3 linked regions of the Oryzias latipes genome follow. The protein of the gene in region 3 purifies or fractionates together with the protein of the main gene of each other region. This does not show direct contact. Links are inferred from orthologs where the notes say so. Each region holds a gene or a part of one and is shown on either strand. Other genes may lie near its edges. The genes, in order: rnf219, cnot8 and cnot1.

Evidence for each region.
Region 1: the proteins of cnot1 (region 3) and rnf219 purify together in Homo sapiens (affinity purification with mass spectrometry; 3 studies listed by BioGRID and IntAct, with this or other methods). This does not show direct contact. The link is inferred for Oryzias latipes from reciprocal best matches to the Homo sapiens genes CNOT1 and OBI1.
Region 2: the proteins of cnot1 (region 3) and cnot8 purify together in Homo sapiens (co-immunoprecipitation; 5 studies listed by BioGRID and IntAct, with this or other methods). This does not show direct contact. The link is inferred for Oryzias latipes from reciprocal best matches to the Homo sapiens genes CNOT1 and CNOT8.

What each region holds. Positions count from the first base shown.
Region 1 is NC_019861.2:14,862,866-14,870,860, reverse strand, and holds the start of rnf219 (RING finger protein 219), read right to left. Parts: upstream 5,493-7,995; 5' UTR 5,387-5,492; coding exon 5,315-5,386; intron 5,125-5,314; coding exon 4,989-5,124; intron 4,413-4,988; coding exon 4,321-4,412; intron 3,263-4,320; coding exon 3,041-3,262; intron 2,834-3,040; coding exon 2,745-2,833; intron 1,054-2,744; coding exon 1-1,053. UniProt on the Homo sapiens protein: E3 ubiquitin ligase essential for DNA replication origin activation during S phase.
Region 2 is NC_019872.2:29,376,927-29,385,084, forward strand, and holds the start of cnot8 (CCR4-NOT transcription complex subunit 8), read left to right. Parts: upstream 1-3,895; 5' UTR 3,896-3,994; exon of another isoform or gene 3,995-4,165; intron 4,166-4,896; 5' UTR 4,897-4,978; coding exon 4,979-5,095; intron 5,096-5,229; coding exon 5,230-5,423; intron 5,424-5,864; coding exon 5,865-6,026; intron 6,027-6,905; coding exon 6,906-7,050; intron 7,051-7,138; coding exon 7,139-7,249; intron 7,250-8,158. Other genes in the region: protein FAM114A2, read left to right, coding at 466-589, 665-750, 1,065-1,166, 1,392-1,516, 1,590-1,662, 2,064-2,117, 2,189-2,299. UniProt on the Homo sapiens protein: Has 3'-5' poly(A) exoribonuclease activity for synthetic poly(A) RNA substrate. Its function seems to be partially redundant with that of CNOT7.
Region 3 is NC_019864.2:25,873,835-25,880,795, forward strand, and holds the end of cnot1 (CCR4-NOT transcription complex subunit 1), read right to left. Parts: coding exon 6,772-6,961; intron 6,702-6,771; coding exon 6,538-6,701; intron 6,442-6,537; coding exon 6,324-6,441; intron 6,206-6,323; coding exon 6,104-6,205; intron 5,431-6,103; coding exon 5,257-5,430; intron 4,325-5,256; coding exon 4,175-4,324; intron 4,097-4,174; coding exon 3,916-4,096; intron 3,839-3,915; coding exon 3,706-3,838; intron 3,628-3,705; coding exon 3,493-3,627; intron 2,884-3,492; coding exon 2,805-2,883; downstream 1-2,804.

The sequences.
Region 1 (7,995 bases), on a different chromosome or scaffold from region 3:
CTACTTGAGGTCTGAGAATCAAAAGCATCCTCTACAGAGCTTTTGGGAGCCTCTATGATGTTTTTGGTGTCATCTTTAACGTCACCTAAATCCAGGTTCTTCTGATCTCCATCTGCACATGTGTCACCGGAACTCGATACAGCGGTGCAGGTTTGTGAATCTGCAACAAGAGTTCTGTCTAAGTCTGCAGGAGGTGGGGAACCTAAAGAGAGCTGTGATCCACGGCTGCTGGAACTCTCTCCATCAAGCATCATGGAGTCTAACTCTGAGATCTTGTCCAGGTAAGCTGCATCCATGGAAGCCTCACATGCCATCTGAAAACTATCAACTTCACCACCTGCTGAAACTGCAGATGGGGATTCCTTGACTGGATTTTCTGTACTCGGGTCTGAAGACGATGGATTGTCAGCATGGGGTCTTTCCCAACAACCCCAAAAGACTGACTTTGGAGACCCTGTTATATTTGAAGATGAGCCTTTTGGAAACTTCTCGAGGCTGGCAAATTTGCTCTCTAAGGCAGAACTCATCTTCCTGGTACCAGACAATTCTTCAAAATCAAGTCTTTTTTGATAAGATATAGGTTTAAATGTGACTTTCTTCTCACGGATGCCAGGGCTTCTCAAGGTCAGAGACTGGAAGGCAGATGATGGAGTTGCAGGAGAGAAGTCAGAGGAGGTGCTTTCAGGGTTTTCCTTCTTCTGCTCTCCAGCCAGGCTCTTCTTGAACTCTTTGGGAGTTCCTGACATGAACAAAACACTGGGATTTTTGGAAAACGCTTGAGACTCTGCCTCTGGATTGCTGCAGATCAACCTTCTTTCTTCCTCACTTAAGCTTCTCATCATCATGTTCAACCTCTGTTGCTGTGTGAGAGCATCTGCCGCCGTCCCACACGCCTCGTGGGCTTCAGGATTCCTATTTTCACATTTCCTGAGTCGGGACTCTAGCTCATCGACGTACTGGTCACTGCGTTCCAGAGCCCGTTTTAAGTGGTCGACATCACGCTCATACAGCTGACACTTGGCTTCCAGCGCTGCAACTGTGTATCGACCAAACCTGCAAACACAACACTTTCCTTACAACTAAGACAGAAATATCATATGATAAATAGCATAATGTTACTATTAGTTTGTGTAAAGCTATGTTTAAGGCCTTCTCCAATCATCTTTTAATCTATTGTAAAAGAGTTATGGTTATGATGTTAAGCTAACATCAAAATCCTGCGTCATTTTCTAAGACATAGTTTCTGCAGAGCAGCAGTAGTTTATTTGAAACTTTCCTCTGAGTTGTGGGCAGGACCACCAGCGCAGACCAACCCCACCCCCTTCCGCTCCCTGTTGATGAAAGCTCAGAACAGGGAGCTTGTGGCCCGCCCAGCACTCTACGTCACAAATCAGCTCTTTTTCAAACAGCCTTTTTTTTCCATCTGCTCCCGATTTACAAACATTTGAATAAAGAAATACTCAAAAAATGCAATTTAACCTTCATTGTTCTTTTTCATGCCCATCATCAATGCCACAAGAACATGTTAGAAACATCAAAAACAAAATTCTCATTGGAGTGTTTAAACTTGCTAAACATTATGATTCAATATGCAGAAATTTTCCCAAAGTTGGCATTGATTGAATGTTCTGATGAGAAACTTTGATGATGTTTAATGCTAGTCTTCCTCTGAAGGCAACAATGCCAACTTTGGAATTTGCTGGACTTAAAGACCCACTCTAATGAAGATTGCGTTTTCTGTGTTTTTAACATATTCTTGTGGAATTATTCGGATGAAGGACATACTGCATATAGAGAAAGTTGAGCTCAAACTTGATCTGCATTTTTGTTGCACTCTTAATGTTATGTTGGGGGTGTGAGGGGCTGTAAGCTATGAACAGATGAATGATGGGAAGTCAGGGCCGGCCTACACCACGCCAACAGTTCCGCCCACAACTCAGAGGTGAAATTCTAATGAACTACGGCTGCTCTGCAGAAATTATGTTCTATTTTTTTTTAAATATTACCTAAGAACGGCATAATCATGACTAAAAGACCACTGGGAACGCTTTCACAATAGAGCAAAAAATGATTGGAGTGGGACTAAAAAGAAAGCAAATGTGACTGAGAATACAACCGATGGTTAACACAGACTGAGCCCAACAAATTATTGACAACATCTTTCCCCTTTAATTTGGGATTATGGGGCCTATACCATGCTTTCCTTAAGCCTTTTATAGTAAACAATATCCATGTACATGATAATGGTACCTTTGGCACACTAAAGAATGCATTTTTTATTAAATATTATTTTCCTGAGCTCTTTTCCAACCCAGAAGTAAGACGCCTCGATCTCTGAGGCACCAGCTTTCACTCCTTGTGGCTGCTGCCTATTTCATGACATCGACTTATAGACCTATAGTGTGTCTGCACCTCGCCAATGAAAACAACAGTTTGATCAGATCTTGTACGAATGAAGGATAAATACATATAAAAGTTAAGATCAGTCAATCCTACACTGTAAAATTCTTCATTATTAACAGAAAACACTACCTATTAGTACCATCCAAAATATTGTACTCAACACAAAATATCTTACTAGCAGCCAGAACATTTTAAAAGTTATTTTTTGTAAAAGAACCCCTAGGATTTTTTGTTTTTCTTGAAGGCAGGCGCGGTTTTCTTCTTCTGTTCATGCTGTTTGCTAACGATCAGGCGTTTCATTGTTTCCATCACTTGATCAATGTTGCAAAAAAAGTACTTACTTCTGAGGAGATCTGCTCGCCACTTCTGCTTTAAGTCTCATGTTCTCTTGGACAAGGTCTACATTTTGAGAACGCAGGATCTTATTTGCCTAAAGGAAACAGAGAAAGTCTCAAATAAAAATAAGATATCGTACGCTTCTGTTAAAACTTAAGAAATGCATGCAGTTACCCTTCCAACTATTAACTTTACTTGTATTTCTATATATAGAATTATAAGACCTGTAAATACACGACATATGCACAAGCTTTATCAACATCTGTCAGTAAATACAGAACATGTGTTTAGTTGTGTGTACCTCTTTCAGTTTGTCCATGTCCTGCTTTATTTGATCACAAACATCTGTGGCTGCTTGCAGCTTGTTCTTCCATTCCTCTACAACAAAGTGAGGGACCCTCTTTTCATCTGCTTCCACTGCATTTATGCTGGTAGGAAGCAATGCGGTCTTCAGCTGGGTTTCCAGATTTTGAGTTTTGACTTTCAGCTCCTCGTTTTCTCTCATAAGCCCTTCGATCTCTTCCTGACGTGGAAAGGTTTTGTGAAAAACAAGGGTCAGGAGAAAAACCAAATTAAAAAAACAAATAAACATGAAATTCAATCCAAGTTTAATCATAATCTTGTTATGTGAAAGATAGAAAAAGTGAATTACAGTGGTCCTTGCTTAATTGCAGTTCACCTTTTGTGGCTCACTGTTTTGCAGACTTGTTTTTGTGCAGCTTTAGATGGTTTTCTTTTTTTTTTTTAAACACTGTGTTCTGCATGGTAATAGGCTGAAGATCTTGTCAATCAATCTCCTTTATGCCATGTCTCCTGTACAAGAAGCAGGCAGCTCTGCAAAGCCAGTTCTCCAAAAGATTTTTGTTTTTGTTCCATAATACTGAACTTATTTTTCTATGAAGCTAGGAACTTTGAGAAAAAAAGTGTTAAAATATTAATGTCCGTCTTTGTGGATTTCACTTTTTGCAGATAAACAAGAGAACACTATTTAAACTTCTGCTTTTCAGTCACTATTATTGGTAAATAAGCTGGTTAAAAGATGATATTATTTAACAAACAAGTATAGATTGGTTATGTTATTTTTTAATATAAAAAATTTAACTTAACATAACATAGTTTTACAAATTTAACATAAAATAACACAACATAACAAATAATTCTTCAAAATGTCTTAAAATGTATGTTAATTCCGTGGGAGACCATTTTCCTTTTAGTCTCACAGTAGGAATATGTCAACACGTTCTACACTAAATAAAGCGGATATAACCAAAAATAACCAACAAATTGAAAGGACTTGGAGTAGTGAACCATTGTAATATTTGTAGTGCCAATATAGTGAAACAGTTTGATTAGAGTCCAAATAAATTCTAATAAAAGCTTTGATTGATACTTAGCAGTAATTGTTCAAATTTGACTGAACAGTGCTGACTGGATTTTAATAGTAGTCGTGTAAACTCCCCTCAAACCCTTTAACCTGTTAATTTTGTAGCTAACCCTCTACACACATACTCACGGGTTCCCAGTTAAGCAGAATTAACTAGTAATTTAAAATATCAGAAAGCATCCTGAATGCAGCCGTACCTCATACTCCCGTAAAAGCAGCTCTCCTCTGGTTTTACGGAGACATTTTCTCATGGATGTGTTGTCACTGTGATCGCCTTCATTCGTCCCCCCTGTAGCAGAATGACAAAAAGATTATATTTCCAAAAATATACACATGATACTAGTAGTTTTCCAAGTAGATACTGAATATACGTTCTGGTGCCAAAATATCAAAAACTGAATCTAGCTACCATATTTAAGAAATGATATATAAGCAGATCAAAAGTTGATAAATTAACATTAAAGTAATTCAAACAAATGTTCTATCTAACAGACTGTTGTAACCTTATTTCTGGAACAAACCTTTAACTCAAAGCAAAGAAAACAACATGAGTGACATTATCATATCCTCATTTATTAGTTACTTGCCTACATTTAAAAAGAAACATGAAAATATATAGTTTATAAGGGGAATGCATGGAGAAACAGTTCAGCACCTCTAATGTGTCAACAAAAACATTGTGGGACTTGCAAATGATAGAACTGTATTGAGCTAATCCTTTATTTTCTGTACAGGAGTGTTAAGTTTATGTAGATTTAATTAAGTATTTTCTTAACAATGCAGACAGTGCATCCTCTACTGATCTTTTTTTTTTTTGGGGGGGGGGGGGGGGGGGGGCCCCCCCCTCGTTTGTAGCGGTACTCACCGATGATCTCTCTGCACGGACTCTCTGCTGTGATGGGCACTCTGCAGGTGGGACACTGGCCGGCTTTCTTTAACCACACTTCCATGCAGGACGAACAGAACACGTGGTAGTTGGCACAAATGACCGGCTGCCTGACCTGCACGGAGACGAGTATCAGACAATTATTTTTTGACAAAAAAATAAAAATACAAATAGACGCTTTCCTTTGGTGATCCGAGTTGCAGCTGGGTGACTAGCGCGCCGCTAGTGCAGTCACCGCCAGACAACGCAGGAGAAGTTTTACTTCCTCTATTCCCGGCTAATGTCGAAATGTAGATGCTGCTTACCTTTCCGAGGCAAATTTGACAGGAAATGGGCAAAGTTAGAGACAGAGTCGATGCCTGATAATTGAGCGCCATCGCTTGTTGTCAAGACACGACACAGTTCCCGCGGGGAGGTACAAGTTTCCCACCAGGAACTAACCGTCGGTCTGCGCGCGCGTCATGAGCTACGGAACTCTTTGAGGGACAAAAAGGGTTGATTTTAGTACGGACAGGGTCATGTTTATTTTCTATTTCTTTTAAATATATTTGGTAGTTTTCTTTTTCATGAGAACTTTTACCTAGAAGTGAACAAAATAGGAATCTTTTTTATGGACTTTTTGACCCTGCCTCTTTGAAAGCAATTTTACTCTGCCTAGTTCTCCAGTGGTTATACTTATAGCAAAAAAAACTTCCACAGTAGTGGCCTTTTTGGTTATTTTTTTAATGAGTTGAAGATGTATTTACATTCAGTTAGTTTAGCTGCTAATGTGGTGAAAAGCTTGGAAATGTGTGAATGCACTTCACCAATAATGTTCCCCATTGGATGATTGAGAATGGAGAATGGGTGGGATGAGCTCATTTACCAGAACTATTCCGCCCACTTCAACAAATGGATCTTTTGTTGTGTTCACTAATGGGTTTACTCATATGTCAATCAAAAACATGTACACATGTCAGTCATCACAGAATCAAAATAGCTGTGGTTGTGCCCCCCCCCCACACACACACAAACACACACAGCCTAAATGGAAAGTCAATCACTAACAATTTCATAGACTTTTAAAACAAGATTATCTACATGTTTTCTCGGAGTATGACTTTTTAACATATAGGAGATAATGGTAAATGCTTCCTTCTCCCAACTAGTCCATGGCTTCTTTTTAGGAGCTCCAAGGTTTGGTACCTCCTGGTGGCTTAAAATTAAAACAAAAAACAGAGAAATAAAAAAAAACATATTTTGGAATAAAAAATAAGTAACTTTTTCGAGTTTGCCTGGAGACGCTGCATGTTAGGTCCGAAATACTAAGTCATCATAGGAAAAAAAAAACTGTTCAGAAGTGTCCTAATTTCAACTTTGCTGCTGGTTTTATAAATTTTAAAACATTTGGAATCTGTTGTGTGGATTTTAAACCTGTTTTTGGTAATTTCTAGAAGGTTTCCTACATGTATGCTTATTTTAGGATTGTTAGTTGGCTTGTAATTTTAGATCTTTATGGAAAGCAGAGGCACTTTTGAGGTTTTAAGTAAAATTATTATTATTCATTATTAATTGTATAATTATTATTTACTAATTTTTTAATAATTTACCAACCCTTATTTATTAAATTGCTGATTGTTTGGTTCTGGGAAACTTATTATTTTCTTAGTTTTGTGGTGCCAACTTTCTAAAAAGCTGTGATAAATGAAAATGTATAAATTGTCCCCTTGACAACAAAATTGGCTGTAAGAACAATTTTACATAGCTAAAGATATGGATCTTTAGCTCAAATAACATACAAGTCTTTAAAGTCGCTGTTGATGCTTTAATCCCAGCTGTCAATTGAATCGGTTAGTTCAAAAGGGGCCCAAGTCCAAGAGGTTTGTTTTTCCAGGAAATCTTTTTAATTGCATAGCTTATAGGGAGCCTACACAAAATGATTAATACTTTATCCAGATTTAGCACCAGTTCACATCTTACAAATACTATAAAATGAAGCACCTCACTTTTATCATTTTAGAGGACTGGCAAACTAAAGTCTCTGGACTTGGGCCCTTCTTGAATTAAACAGGGGCGCTGCCATGTTGGATAACTAGTGCTGCCATCAATGGGATGAAGCTAAACCCATGCAAGAGAGGCCCAAGTCCAGGAATTTGGCCTTTCTTGCACTAAATGTAATTTAAATGTCAAGCATAGTCAATACATTACAACGGACTTGAGAATTTTTTGCACATAAGCAGACAGCTTTTCCCTTGAAGACCATAGAACATATAATATCTCTATTTAGAAAAATTGTGGACTTGGGCCCCTTTTGAACTAACCGATTCAATTGACAAACAGGGGTATGTTTTTTATTAGTTTTTTTTATTGGCTAGCTTTTCTTACAAATCTGATTACATTTCCATTTAATGCTCGTAATCACAATGTAGGGCAAAGCAAACTTAATGTCATTGGTGAGCTGAAATGAAACAAAGTCTTGGGTGACAGTGAGCATGATTATGGAAAAGGTTCAACTTTTCATCGTGTAAAAATGGAGGGCATTCACTTAAAAGATGTGTTATCTTCCTTTCTCCAGGCAACATAACTGAAGTGTTTCTGATCAGGACACCTAACACTTAAGTACAACTGCTCCCTTGATGCTTTGCAGTCACAGTTTATTCTCTTGTGCATATATTACCAATGAATGGGTCACATACAGAGGACAAACCTGCAGTGTATCATGCATGTGCAGTATAGAGTGTTTATCCCCATCCTTTATCCTTAACTAAATTCTGTCTATATAAAACTGTCATCTAGAGCAATGCCTAAATTAGGATGTGATTTGCATGCCACACACTACACAAAAATAAAAACTCTACAGGATTTTCTAAAGGCTCAATGTGTTAAAAATGAACACATGTAAGTTGTCTAGAAGTTAACTACAGATATGGTTCCCAAAAGAAAGCATAACTTAAGATTGAATATGTCAGATTTTGTGGTATGTCTGTGGTGGGACATTGGGCTCCAC
Region 2 (8,158 bases), on a different chromosome or scaffold from region 3:
CCTGGGCCGTCCAGTGGAGAATAAAGGTCCTCGTGTCTGTGGAGGACGGCTGTTCCTCTGTGGAATCCAGAAACACTTTAGATTGTTTCCAGCATGAAGGACTGTTTAGAAACACCAAACAGAACCTCGTTGGAGGATCTTCTCCTTCAGGCTTTTCTGGTAGACGTCACTATCAGGATCCAACTGCAGGTCGCTCCTAGTGCAACCATTCCAGGTTCAAGCTTGACGTTCTCTGAGAATATTTAAGTCACACGTTCATCTTTTAAGCTCCTAGAGAAGTCTGGAGGTCACAATGAGAGAAAGAAAAGCTTTATTTTTAGCTAAAAGCGGTTTCATATCTCCAGCCTCACTTAGGAGCGCTGTGATGAGAGGATTGTGTGTGAAACTCCTGAGGCTGCTCCTTGAAGAGGCTGGGCGTAGACGAAGACCCTCAGGAACCTGACATGTGGATGTTTTCCATCATAGGTGAAGTCGGTGCTGACCACTCTGTCTGGAGACGAGCTGCTGCAGCTCAGGGAGGAGCTGGAGGCCATCAAGGACTCCTTCTCCATGGTGGAGTTTGACGAGGAGGAGGTCGATGAGAGGAAGGGTAAAAGCGGACGTGGAAGTAAAAGCAGAACTTTCAGCTCCTTGCAGCTGAACTGACGGGAGGTTCTGGTTCCAGATGAGGACGGGGGGGAGTTTGAGAAGGAGCTGACAGAGGCTCTGGGGGGCCTGGAGATCTCCGCTGCAGCCGGCAAACTCAGCACGGTACGAGTCTCTGAGCTTCACGTTTGGAAAACACGTCAGGGTTCTGTCGAGTAAATGTGGCCCAACAGGAAAAATGAAGCCCAAATTCTGCAGGTTTTGAGTTTGATACCAGGAGATGAGAGGAAACGATGCAGCAGGAGACTCCAAGCTTTTTCACAGAACGGTTGCTGCTTTTGCATGATCCTGCTGGTGTTTGGAAAACCTCCTTCTTTCCTGTCCTCCGTTTGACCAAAGGCCTCACAAGAGGAACAGTGAGAACAGAGCATTGGTCTCATGGTAACAGGAATAGCGGTTGTTTTTCTGGCCTCCAATAGGCCTGTAAGGAGGCCTGCAGCAGCATCAGGGACATGAGCACACCAGCAGAGGAGGAAGAGGAGGAGGACGGAAGTGGGATGAAGAAAGCCCACTCTGTGGAGGTATGTCTTACACACATTCCTTCACATCACCTGAACTCCTCTGATCTTTTAAAAACTCCAGAAGTTCCCTTTTTATCGTCTTCATGATATATTTAAAACCCAAGGGTGACATTTGCATCTCCATTTAGCCTTTCAGTCCTCAGACTTTCTGCTTTATTGTTATTCAGGAAGTAGAATTCACACCTTCACAGAAACCTCCTGGATTTTTTTTCCTTTCCCCGTCAGGACGTTCACGCCGCTGCCATCAGGAGCCTGGCAGAGCTGACGGCTCGATCCATCGAGCTTTTTCACAAACTGGCAGAGATGATCCTCTTCTCCAATGGCAGCGCAGACGCCAGCGTCCTGTCACAGTGAGGCGCTTTCCTCTGAGCAGCTCTCCTGCCCGTCCAGCCTCTCATTGGCTCCTGTGTTGCGTGTCTTCAGGTTGACTGTTGTCCTGTGTAAAGAAGTCTCTCTGCTCTCCAAGAAGTTCACGTCCTGCTTGACGGCAGCGGGGGTAAGAGGGCAGCGTCAGTGTCTTCTTCCAGAAGCTCCTGTTAGACGGCTGGAACTGAGACTGACGACATTCAAGAGTTCCTCCTGCAGAAAGCCCAGTAGCGCCCGGTCCTGCAGTGAGGCCACGGCTGCAGTTGCCATAGAAACCAGGGTTTTTCCATTCAAATGTCCAAAGTTTCACTTTTCCTCCACCTTTTATTTCTTAATATAGATTTGAGTCAAAAACGAGTTTTATAGAAGATGCGTTTATTGTTGTTGGTAAATAAAATGAAACACTAGAATAGGCAGGAAGGGGTTAAAGCACAGAACCGAACTGCAGGATGCTTTCAGGTCCGCTTGATCCCGGTACCGGTTCCACAGACGTTCTCTCTCTGCAGGCTAACGCTTTGCCCTGTTTTTCAGTCTCAGGACAAAGGAGACGTGCTGAACCCCCTGATTACAGGAGTCTTTCTTGAGGTGGGTGTGCCATCGCTGAATGTTCATGTTGCCCCTCCCACAGCGCTCCTAGAAATGCTCCTCCCACACAGGCGTCCAACAGCGCGTCCTACATCCAGGACGCTTTCCAGCTTCTCATGCCGATCCTGGAGATCTCCCACATCCAGAGGAGCGCCGCGTCTCCAGAGAACCGACGCCGCTGAAAGCCTTTTGAAGAACTTCGGCCGGAAGGAGAAAAGCTTTTAGTCGCACCGTTCTGGGGGTTTGTGAAGCACAGAAGCAAACATGAGGCGTCCTGACCTACAGGGACTCCACTGCTTCTGCAGAAACAAACAGGGAAACACTTTATTATCACACTTCTGCTCAAAAAATTCTTTTAATGAAAAAAATCGAATGAAAACTTGTAGGGTAAGGTGGGACGCTTTAAATAAGAAAAAAAAAATTAAAAACAAAAATCTGAAACAATTAGAAACGACCCAAAAATGTGTGATGTTTGCACTTTTGTCCCGGTATCTTTGTTGTTTTTCTCCGAAGGTTCTTTGACTCTCCCCATCAGCAGAGACGCTGTCGCCCTTAAGGGTCATCTAGGGATTCTGACTCAGAGTTGCCTCACCTGAGCACGAGTAAAGGAGGGTTCCTCGCTGCACTTGTAACCTCCACCAAGGCTTAGTGCTACATGGAGGGGTGGGGTCCCGTGGGAGGATGGGTTCTGCCCCCAGGCGGTAGCAGACAGAAGTCATTTTACTACTAATCAATAAAGAAGCTTCTGCAGTCACTTTGCGTTGACGAAGCAGAAGCAGCTTCACCTGCAAGGTGGCCTTCAAAGCCACACCCTCTTTTTAATAATTTTCCTTATTTTTAATCCCCTGCTGTTGTTTTACTTTATTATGAAGTTGTTCTTCTGTGTTTTTCCCTTAAAGCTGCAGCTGTTTCTGTGCTAAACATGATGTTTCTGTGGAGGACTGAAACTCACTTCATTCAATTGTGTAAAAATGTAAAATAAAAGGGTTCGGATGGACCGATTTGAACGCTGTTTTTCATTAGTTTCCTGTGACTTTTTGTCAAATCTTTTCCTTTCATGGTCATTGGTATCACATGGTCTACAGAGGGAACTACAGAGGGAGCAGCATGTGCAGCAGCTGCTCTTTCACCATTTTTTACCTCATCTAGGTTTCCGCGTCGCTCAGCAGATGCGTGTTTGGGGAAAGAAATACACATTCGTTTATACATTAAAAATACAGTTTCACATGAAAATACCTGTAAAACACAAGGAGTAATGAATGTTTCAATGAAATGTTGATATTCAAACAAAAACATGATATACCTACATGTCTCATGCTGTCTTTCATATGTTAAACTAAATTCATATTTACATTTTAATTATATGTGTATTGGAACCGTTACAAAGGTTATCATGGTTGAGTCCTGCACAATATAACCATCATATAGTTTGATAAATAATGTTTATTCTAATGTGTTCTCTGCTTGGCATTTTAGTTACATATTTGGGTTTATTGTTTTCAGTTTACAAACTTTTTTTTAAATAGTGTTTTTTTTTGTATTTCTGACATTTTTATTATGATTATTCCTATAATTTATTAAAAAGGTACAATGAATGACCCATTTACTGCATGGATGAGGGCCTTTAGGAAAAAATTTGTGTTGAAGTAGTTAATATGAATTTGACATATGAATATATTTAAGTAACAAAAAAATGTAAAGATAAGTCATACATTTTTATTTAATGGATGGATGTCAACAAATGAAGTAGCGTTGTGGAGCTTCCGCTCCGGACCGGCAGGGGGCAGTGTGCACGTTTATAGTCCACTCCAAACCGGAAGTGAGACGGTAGGAAATGAAGGAAGCAGACGACAGCGTTGTGTCGAGGGAATTTTAAGGTAAACCGGTTACCTAATTAAACGACTACATTTTTTTTCCCGGGCAGCTTCAGTCAGATTAAACACTTTAACAGGGCCACGTCATTTATTTATTCTTCAATGCTGCGTCATCTCTGCAACTTGACCGCGCGCGAATATTAACGTCTATGCTAACTGTTAGCATCGATCACGGTTTGTTTTCATTTTCTTTTCTGCTTAAGAACAATTTTAAAGTATATTTGTTTTATTTATAGTGTTAGAATGATTGAAAATATCGGTTTTATATTTGTATTTCGGCTGAAGTTAAATTAGTAAAGCCAGTTCCGCACTACAGTCAGTACGGAGTCGGCTGTCATGGCAACAACAGCGTTTTTTTAATGCTGTTCTTTGTTGTTTCTATTTTTATTGTTAGTTTTTGCTCGTTTTGAGAGCCTCCATACAGCGTGTACTTTCATTATATATAAAGATCTATGTGGAAACGCGTCAGGTAGACTGTAAAAATCCCAGTTACAGACTACAGAAACGTCATTTTACCATGTAACTTTCAGTGCTGCTGTTGAACTGATTTTTTTTTTAAACCAAATATATGGTGACACCCAAGACTACTTGGTGGATTATTACATACAGAAAGCAGTTAGTCTTCAATCTATCAATAGCATTTTGAATCAAATTGATGCTGTGAAACAGGGAAACAATTGTTAAGGGGTCAAAGCAGGACAGAGTAAAGACACGGTTTGACCCTGCATTTGACCTTAGATCAGTAAATGATGCCATCATGACTGGGTAACTTTTGAATAAATTAAGTAGACTCTTATTAGATGCTCAGCTTCCAAAGATTCCCTATTTTTATGTTGTATACTTGTGATGATTTGACGGCATTACTCTGAGATTTAAGTACGTTTTTTCTAAATCTCCTTTCGCAGTTCTTTTTTTGTTGCACGGTCCCCCTTCCCACCCCCCCTTGAAGCCCTGCAGGACCGTCGGGTCTCCTAGGAACCTGCCAACATGCCAGCTGCTCTTCAAGATTCCAGCCAGATGATCTGTGAAGTCTGGGCGAGCAACGTGGGGGAAGAGATGAGGAAGATACGGCAAATTATCCAAAGCTACAACTACGTTGCCATGGTTACAGGCTCTCCTTTCTTTGTTGACAGTTGAATTCTAAAAAGAAAAACAAAGAACGTAAATGTGGTGATTGCAAATGTGTGCTAGTCTCTTCCTTTCCTGGAGTGTCCTAACCCTGCATTTCTGTGTCTTAGGACACGGAGTTTCCCGGAGTCGTGGTCCGACCCATAGGCGAGTTTCGCAGTACGGTAGATTACCAGTACCAGCTGCTGCGGTGCAACGTGGATCTGCTGAAGATCATCCAGCTTGGTCTCACATTCATGAACGAGGATGGGGATTACCCCCCCGGCACGACCACGTGGCAATTCAACTTCAAGTTCAACCTGACGTAGGTGCTTCGTCGTCTCATGGGACTGAAAACGTTCGCTGCTTCCTGTCAACCTGCTGGCAGCCTAAGCCACTTATGTGCTATGATGACAACAGTCTTTAAAAATAATAAAAAACATAAACAGAGACGCCTGTAAATTAAACTCCAGTACGTAAGCCTTAAACAGGCTGTGAAAGATGCAATGAGCCACTTCTCCACTAGGAGACAGTATTTCACACAGAAGTTTGTGCCTCAGCTGTTCTACTGTGGTGTTAAACTGCATGAACTTTTTACTTTTTTTTTTTTATTAGATGTATTTTAATAATTAAAAAAAGGTTGATTTACATTTTTGTTTACTCCTTTTCATAAATCTCTGAAAAGTGAAAGGTTCACAGGTTTTCTAGTGAAATAAGATGATCAAGTCCTGAAATGATCCTTGATGTTCTCTAACGTTGTGTGCAGTGAGGATATGTACTCCCAGGACTCCATAGACCTGCTCCAGAACTCGGGTCTGCAGTTCAAAAAACACGAAGAAGAAGGAATCGACACGCTGTACTTCGCCGAGCTCCTCATGACGTCGGGTCTGGTTCTGTGTGAGAACGTCAAGTGGCTGTCCTTCCACAGGTCGGTTGTCTGCTGGCTTGTTCCATGAACGGGGGTGGGAGGGGGTCTTCTGTTTGATCTTTCAGAAATCATAAAATATAATTAAAATCACTTTAACCCAGTAGAACCCACGGTGACGTCAGTGTAACAGAAAATATCAGAAATGGATTCTTTGGTCCATTTGGTTTGTGGTTAAAATATGCACTTTATTTTAAACAACAAATGGGTCTGGGTACTTATGGGTTAACACCAGAATAGAGATCCAGATAAAACAATGTAAGCAGGTCAAAAACATCTCTTTTACTCTGAACTTAATCCTTGTCAGAGGAAAAACTTCTCTGGGATCTTCAGGGAGAAATTTCAGAGATTAGCTGCATGGAGCTGAATTCTGAGCTCCAGTTAAAGTTCTGCCTCTGGTTCATTCCAAATATGATCTCTGATGCTAAAGCATGAAGAGACTTGAACAGAAGCAGAACTATTTGAAAGGCTGTTGTGTGACCTCGGGACTGATGGTCAAAATCAGAAGCGGAGCAGCAGCGTTCTGGATGAACTGCTGCTTCTTTTCTGGGTCCAGACGTTACAGCAGTCTGACCTGCTGGAGACAAACTCCACAATAAACTGGTATCTTAGTCCTCTTTGGTTCTGCTGATGTTTCTTAGACGATATAATGTAGATGACGTTCAAGATTATGGAACTTTAAGTCTTTGCAGAGCTTTTTAGAGCGACCGTCACCATTTTCCCTGTCTTCCTCTGAGACAGACACGATCTAGAAAAGGTTTCTGGGATGCTGCTTCTATTCACATTGATAGTAAACTTTTGCAGAACCTCTGAAACTGTTCAATGTCTAGAGGAGTTGATTCTCTGAGTTTTTAATCATTAATAATTTTTGTTTTGTCTCAGTGGTTATGACTTTGGCTATCTGGTGAAACTCCTGACGGATGCGCGGCTTCCAGAGGAGGAACACGAGTTCTTTCAGATCTTAAACTTGTTTTTTCCTGCAATTTACGATGTGAAGTATTTGATGAAGAGCTGCAAAAGTCTGAAGGTAAGGCCTGCGGGTCACAGGGTTTATTGCTTTCTACATCCCCGAGGAACGTGGAGCCGTCTCACTCCGTCTCCGCTTGTTCCTGCAGGGGGGGTTGCAGGAAGTGGCCGATCAGCTGGAGCTGAAGAGGATTGGCCGGCAGCATCAGGCGGGGTCGGATTCGCTGCTCACGGGCATGGCTTTCTTCAGGATGAAGGAGGTACAGTCTTCATCGTTTTCCGGCTGACAGCTGTTCTGTTGCAGCTGGAAGTTTTTGTGAATCTGCTTAGATGGTTTATAAAATGTCTTTCGAGAAATGCATTTATAAATGCGTAGAATTGTAGATCTTTAGTGTTTTATGTGTGGACATACACTCACCCACTTTAGCAGCTCCACTTTGCTTGTACCCTCTTTAGCCTTCAGAACCGCCTTAATCCTCTGTGGTTTAGAATCAGCAAGGTTCTGGAAACATTCCTCAGAGACTTTGGTCCATGTTGACATGACAGCATCAGTTGCTGCAGATTTGTCAGCTGTACATCCATGATGCCGATCTCCAGTTCCACCGCATCCCAAAGGTTCTCTATTGGGTTCTGGTGACTGTGGAGGCAGTTTGAGTCCAGAGAACTCATTGTCATGTTCTAGAAACCAGTCTGAGATGATTCCAGCTTCATGACATGGAGCCTTATCCTGCTGGAAGTAGCATCAGAAGATGGTCCACTGTGGTCATGAAGGGATGGACATGGTCAGCATCAATACTCTGGTAGACTGTGGTGCTGGAACCATGCTCAGTTGGTACAAAGAAAACATCCCCACACCATGACACCACCACCACCAGCCTGAACCGTTGATACAGGGCAGGATGGATCCATGCTTTCATTTTGTTGAGGCCAGATTCTGACTCTACCATCTGAATGTGGCAGCAGAAATGGAGACTCATCAGACCAGACAACGTTTTTCCATCTTCTATGGTCCAGTTTTGGTGAGTCTGTGTGAATTGTAGCCTCAGTTTCCTGTTCTTAGCTGACAGCAGTGGTACCCGGTGTGGTCTTCTGCTGCTGTAGTCCATCTGCCTCCAGGTTGGACGGGTTGTTCTTTCATTGATGCTCTTCTGCAGACCTCTGTTGGAACC
Region 3 (6,961 bases):
TTTGCATTTAGAAGTTTACAGTGAGAATTTAATCATGAGCAACATGTTACACATCACGTGAAGCCAGATTTCAAAGTCTTTTCTTCATTTTATTTCTGCTCTTCAAACATGAAATTCACAGTAATTTTGGTAAAAGTTTATTCAGACGTCTTCCTGTTATGTGGAGAGATGCTAAGTATCCCAAAATGTGCATTAAATGGTTCATTTATATTTAAAGAATGTCGACTGATTGGTTAGCAATCACACATTTTCACCTCAACAAATCTGTTCCTCTTTGCAAAAAAAGCTTGGAAACGTCCGGTTTAAATCTTTGTTCTGCTTTTGTGTCTGGAGCAGGAGGTGTAGGACCCCAAATGCAGGAGACCAGACATCCGTGTCAGAAACTTCAACAAATGAGAAATTAACTTAGATATGACAACACCAAGGCAGCAAGAAAAGCAAAGCAGATGACCGGACCAAAAAGAACGGAAAAACCACTGAGGGGAATTAACTAAACCAAGACAGCTGTGGAGAATCGACCTGGTGAGACTGACGAGACAAAAACTGAAGGAACATCACAAAAATCCAAGCGCAGAATCCTCACATCTAGAGCCCGAGGACACGAACTGATGGAGAACAGATGGAGAACAATTTGCAAAAGATTTCCTTCAATTTATCAGGTTTGACAATATTATTGGGATTGATTGTAGTATATTCAATATTTATCAGGAGACATCAGTCAGATTCATATAATCTCCAAACCATATTGTTCCGCTGCACAACATGTCAGCCAATTAAAATGATGCATTTAAACGCTTCAAACAATATCTTGGTTTATTTCTGGAAATCTATAAAGCATAAAACTCCTCAGAATAAGCATTCTTAGGTTTAGGATCTGCAAAGTGAGACACATGAATGAATGCATCTCGTCCAATGTAAGAGACTCGCTGTGAAATATCCAGTGTTTGTCGCCACCTAGCGGTTAGAACGTGACATTTCTTTTTTTCTTGCACCTTTTCTGTGACTCAGCCTGATGGAGAGGATCTGAGTTCCTCGGTCCTGATCTGCTAGATTTGCTTTCTTTGTGCCTCTGCTGCAGCTCACTGAAGGGAGCTCATCTTTAATCGTCTCTGTAATATCTGGATTTTTTTTTATTACTCTTACTTGAAAAATGTAATGTAACTTTCCTTTTCTTCCACTTCAGTGAATCGATGTGACCCCCCACATCTGTCATGCGTTTTCTTGATTCCAGACTGCAGCTCGAGTTTAGAATTCTTCACATTTTTTATTTGGTTTTGAATGATTAAATGCCTCATCCTCAAACATACTGGTGACATTTCATGAGCTAAAATTAGAAAAATGAAACTAATAAAGAAGCAAAGTGTCACTGAAAATGTAGGCTTTTCAGAATGTTGGACATGTTTACGTATAGCGATATTTAAGTCAGGTGAGACAAACATAACAGGGGTAGGATTCTTTATATATTCTTTTTTTTTTGACAAACTATGTTTAGTTTGTACGAGTACATTATGTCTATGACTGACTATAACATTGTTTACATGTGAATGTGGACATATTTGTGCCTTTCTTGTGACTTAACATCTTAATTTAATACATCTATGCATGTTTTTTTTGTTGCTTGAAATGAACCAAATGTAAGATGGAAAAAAAGGCACATAGAGGGTCAGAGTTCTTAAATCTTAAATGAAAATGCAGAGTTCGTCTGATGACACTGCACAAAAAAAAAGAAGCTTCTGAGTGGGGCTGAACGATCCGAGGAAAAACTCGCAATTTGCGATATTAGGGATCAATATTGCGAATTAAAATATTGTCCAGTTATGTGCGGCTGTAGTTTATTGTACGTCTTCAGAAAAGTTTCACAGAAAATAACTGTTGAGTTTAAGGAAAATAAGGTAACTAACTGAAGTTGCTGATTTATAAAAGAGCAAGTGTGATGGGCTCAGAAAACACACGTGTGATGTGCAGTTCAAATGTTTTATTTCCTGTATGTATGCATACTGCAATTAAGTAGCAAGAACAAAAGGCAAACTAGAAAGAACTACAAAATACAACACATGGACCAATACATTTACAAAACATTCAAAATGTTACAAAATGGCCTGTATTGGTCCTTCTATTATTGTTCTTCCATTTGGATCTTTATACAAATTGTCAAGTTAGGATGTTTTCATCACTTTGCACAATTTTACAACTGCCAGGGAGAGACCTCCAGAGGCCACATCGACTGGAAAAACCATGAGAAGCCCCCCCCACCCACCACAAACAGGAGATCTTAATATCAGTCTTACTCTAGAAAATATCAGGAACCAAAGAAAAAATTATATCAGACAGTTGTTTTTTTTCTTTTCTTTTTTTGGTAACTACCGTTCACCTCTCAAAAAAACAAAACAAGAAAAAAAAAAAGACTTGTGTTGGAGGGAAGGAACTGAGGACTTTGGTAGTAAATGTTCTGTACAGACCAGGACACATTTGACATGTGCAGCCAAATCCATCCATCCACTTCCCTGCTCTCCCTTTTCTTCTTCAATATTTACATCAATGGTCAAAATAAGCTCACATCTGTCCTCTCAACTCAAGCTTAACGGGAAAAGCTTAAAAAAAAGAAGAAAAAAAAATCTCTTTAAATCCGTGAGCAGCAGTCCTTCCATTCACATTTCACGACTGCAGGAGCCGGTTTTGTCCAGTGCCAACGGTGAAGTGGGGGGGGTCCGTGTGCTGGGGGGGCGGGGCGGGTCAAGGCCACGAATTTCTCTCCCGGGTGCTTTGAGCTGGTGGCTGCGCAGGCTAGCTGGTGGCTGCGCAGGCTAGCTGGCACTGGTGCCCTCCATTACCTGCTGGGCCTGTTTCTGCCCCATGCAGCACTGGGCGACGGACTGGAACAGCCTGGGGGCAGACGGACAGGTTAACGCAGACGGACAGGTATTCGCAGACGGACAGGTGAACGCAGACGGACAGGTATTCGCAGACGGACAGGTGAACGCAGACGGACAGGTAAACGTAGACGGACAGGTGAACGCAGACGGACAGGTAAACGCAGACGGACAAGTGAACGCAGACGGACAGGTGAACGCAGACGGACAGGTGAACGCAGACGGACAGGTAAACGCAGACGGACAGGTAAACGCAGACGGACAGGTAAACGCAGACGGACAGGTAAACGCAGACGGACAGGTGAACGCAGACGAACAGGTGAACGCAGACGGACAGGTGAACGCAGACGGACAGGTTAGCGCAGACGGACAGGTAATCGCAGACGGACAGGTGAACGCAGACGGACAGGTGAACGCAGACGGACAGGTTAGCGCAGACGGACAGGTAAACGCAGACGGACAGGTGAACGCAGACAGACAGGTGAACGCAGACAGACAGGTGAACGCAGACGGACAGGTTAGCGCAGACGGACAGGTAAACGCAGACGGACAGGTGAACGCAGACGGACAGGTGAACGCAAGCGCCCACAAACCGGACCTGAACCTGGGGTGGTGAACTTACTTCTCGATCTCGGGGGCACAGTGCACAAAGTCGTGACTCCAGAACTTAAAGGCAGGGTTCTTGATGAGCTCGATGAAGGTGATAAGGAGCCCCCACGGATGAGGCCTGTTCACGATCAGCCTCTCCAACAGAACCCTGAGAACCAGAGAGCCTACGATTAACAGGACATCCGGTGTTCACACATCAGGACGGGACAGGACGGGACCTCCCCACCTGGTGATCTGCTCCTGGATGGCCTCAGTATTGGCCTCAGCGAACAGGTACAGCATGGTGCAGCTGAAATAATGGGTGTGGCTGTTGGGGTAGCGCAGCTGATTGGCGATGGCGTTCAAAAACAAGTATCGCCCTGAAAAATCACAAAAGCAGAGATGTGAGGAGAGAGGCAACGAGAATGCTCCAAAAGTCAGCCAGACCCAAACAAACCCTCAGTGTCCAGGTCCACAGCCAGGTTCTGGAAGATGTCCATGTGTGCAGAGTGGGTGATGGTGCTCATTGAGGGGGTGCTGCCCTTGTTGTGAATATGAGCGATGGCCTGTGTGCCCACGTACAACACCAAGGCGTTGATCAGCTGAATGTTGTAGCGGTTTCCTGGTTCGTTTGACACCTGCCAGGCAGAGTTCACAGAAACCTCAGCCGCTGTGAAAACAGTTTTTGTAGCAGAAGGTTCTGGTTCTGGTTCTACCTGCAGGTTGCTGCGCAGCTCAGAGAGGAAGGTAACCGGAGAGCGCGTCTTCAGGTACGAGTCCAGATCCTTCTTAAACTGAGAGGGCATCACGCCCGTGAAGTTGGTGAGGATTCGGGGAGCAATGTTGATCTCACTCAGCATGTCCACCTGTGGGGGGATGGGCGTCATGTCAGACAGGTTGAAGTGCCAATCCCATCGTCTTTTGATCTATTTTCAAAGCATTCCCAGTGTTTTTTTTAATTATACTTATGCAGTATTTAGCCCACATCAAAAAAACTGTTGTTTTCTAGGACTTAGTTTCTGTAGAGCAGCAGTAGTTAATTAGAAATTCACTTCCTCGCTGTTGTGAAGCAGAGTGGGGCAGACAGCTTGTGCCCCGCACATGGGACTTTTTTTGTCTGATTGGGATTCACAATAATTTAAATAAAGAAACACTTCAGTTACGGATCCATGTGACGCTCGTCTAGATGGTACTTTCTGCACATTTGCAATGCACATTTTAGCCCATGGTGTTCACACTGGACAAGCAGGGAGGGGCTTCTTACTCATGTTTCCGTATCTCCGACACCTACAGTTGGAACAGGCTTGGTGTGAAATGTGGAATCGGTTTTCCGACTCTGTGTCATAAAATTCCGGTCGGGCACAAACCCCAATTATCTATTTCTCTTCCATGATCAATTTTCATACCGTTGGCACTTCTGTGAATTAAAAAGGACCCCATCCTTACGTTACTACCAAATCTGAGTCCCTGATTGGTCCAAGTTCAACTGGTTTAACTTGCAATGTGCGTTCAATGGTCACGTATTTTATACGTACAACCGTGGTAGAAACTTGGTTAGCTAAGCGAGAGTTTTGAACACGGAAGACCAAACCGCTGGTTTACCCAGACTTTTCATTCAAAATGAACACGTGTTGCCGGGGGCGGTGTGAACATAACTTCATAAATGCAATTATAATCTTCATTTTCTTTGTACACGTCGTCAATCAGGAGAAAAGTGCCACAAGGACATGTTGACGGAATGGGTCTGTAAGATCGGAGTGATGGTTCTGAATGACAGGCACAGTCGGGGCTCTCTTACCTTCAGGTTGGGGGTGAACGGGTCAGGGAGCCTCATGTTGCGTGGGAAGGCACTGAGGATGAGGTTGCGGAGCTGGATGCAGTTGGGTGGGATGACATCACAGAAGCCGTAATGGTAATCACACAGGAATTCTGGGAAGTCGTGCAGCAGGACAAGGAGGACTCGCAGCGTGCCCTGAACCACAGGACAGAAGACGCGACATCAGAGATCAGACAGATGCCTGAGAGAGTGCCAGCAAACCTTTAACCCAATACCTGTGACCCCCAGCAGCAAAGCTAACTTTATCTTGTTGCATCTTTAAAGGTGTACCCCAGGGCTCACTGTTGGAGTCCAACCCTTTTTTATTTTTTTAGGACAGTTCATCTGCTACCATGGGTCTCATGTCGTCCCTCTAGTCAGATGATACCAGTACGCCTATAAACATCTCTGGATGATTGAATGAATTCTGTCTTCAGCTAAACCTTTGCTAGACTGAGCTCATTATTTTCACAGCCCGACAACAAAATCTACTTCAGCTTCATCAGGGTCGATTCTTGTAGTGAAGTCAAGGTTCATGACTGACAAGCAGTTGTCTTATGATGCTGCTTCAGTCCAAGTCATGAACATTTGATTCATCCAACCAAAAAAAGTTCAGAGCTTTAGTCGAGGTTTTTGTGTTACTGAATCTAATGAAAAAAACTTTACCCTTTACACTGACAAATCCAACAATCTTGTTGCTGTTTTTCTCTGTGCATTTATATATATAAATCAAGTACAGCACAGGTTAAAGTCTCTGGTAGAGTTTCATGGTCTTCCTTATGGTAGAGTCGTTTTGAACTAAAGTGTTTTGTAAAGGACTTGTGCGTACCTTGTAGAGAATTTGCATAGGTTTGTTGAGTTCTACATTCCTCAGGAAAGGGGCAAGGTACTTGAAGAGATCGATGAGCAGCTGTGCATACATGGGCCAGCCCTGGAACACATTGGTGTGTTAAGGATTTAAAAAACAAAGAAAGAAAAAAATCATGACAGGTTTAAATTTAAAACAGATGAATAAAAAACAAAAATATAATAAAAAGTTCTGCTCCAACCTTCTGCTGCGGTGTGTGTGCAAGCATCCTGGCGATGAAGATGCGGTGGGAGATGAGCTCCAGCCAGGCGTACACAAAGCCCGGCGCTTTGGTGGGTCTCAGGATGTGGAAGGTATTGCTGCAGAACAAATCAGGTTTTTGGTTTCTGGATGAGAAACACCTTCCTGCTTACGTTTCACAGCGCGGAACGAGATCAGATTCCATGATGTCTCACCAAAAGGCAGTGAGGGTCTGGAAGTTGATGGTCTCCAGGACGTGTTCTGGGGCGTTGAGCTCCAGCAGCAGCATGATGAAAATGCGATGGTATGGAAGCTGCTGGAACTCTGTCTGACGGACGTCATGGTCCTGGATGAGCACACCGACTACGATCCCCAGCACCTGTAACAACCACCTGTGTTATGACGTGTCCGTCACAAACGTGTCTCCACTCCTCTGCTCGTGTGTGCACCTTGTTGAGGAGATTGATCTTGGTGACGGTGTTGGTGGCCTCTCCAGAGTGCTTGACCAGCAGGGCGATGAGCCGCACAAAGGCGTCCAGGTTGTGGTAACACTTGGCTCTGATGATGGCTGCACTGGCTGCCGGGTTGTGCTGCTGCTCAGCCTGAGCGCGGTAGCTGATCTCCACACACATTTCTGTG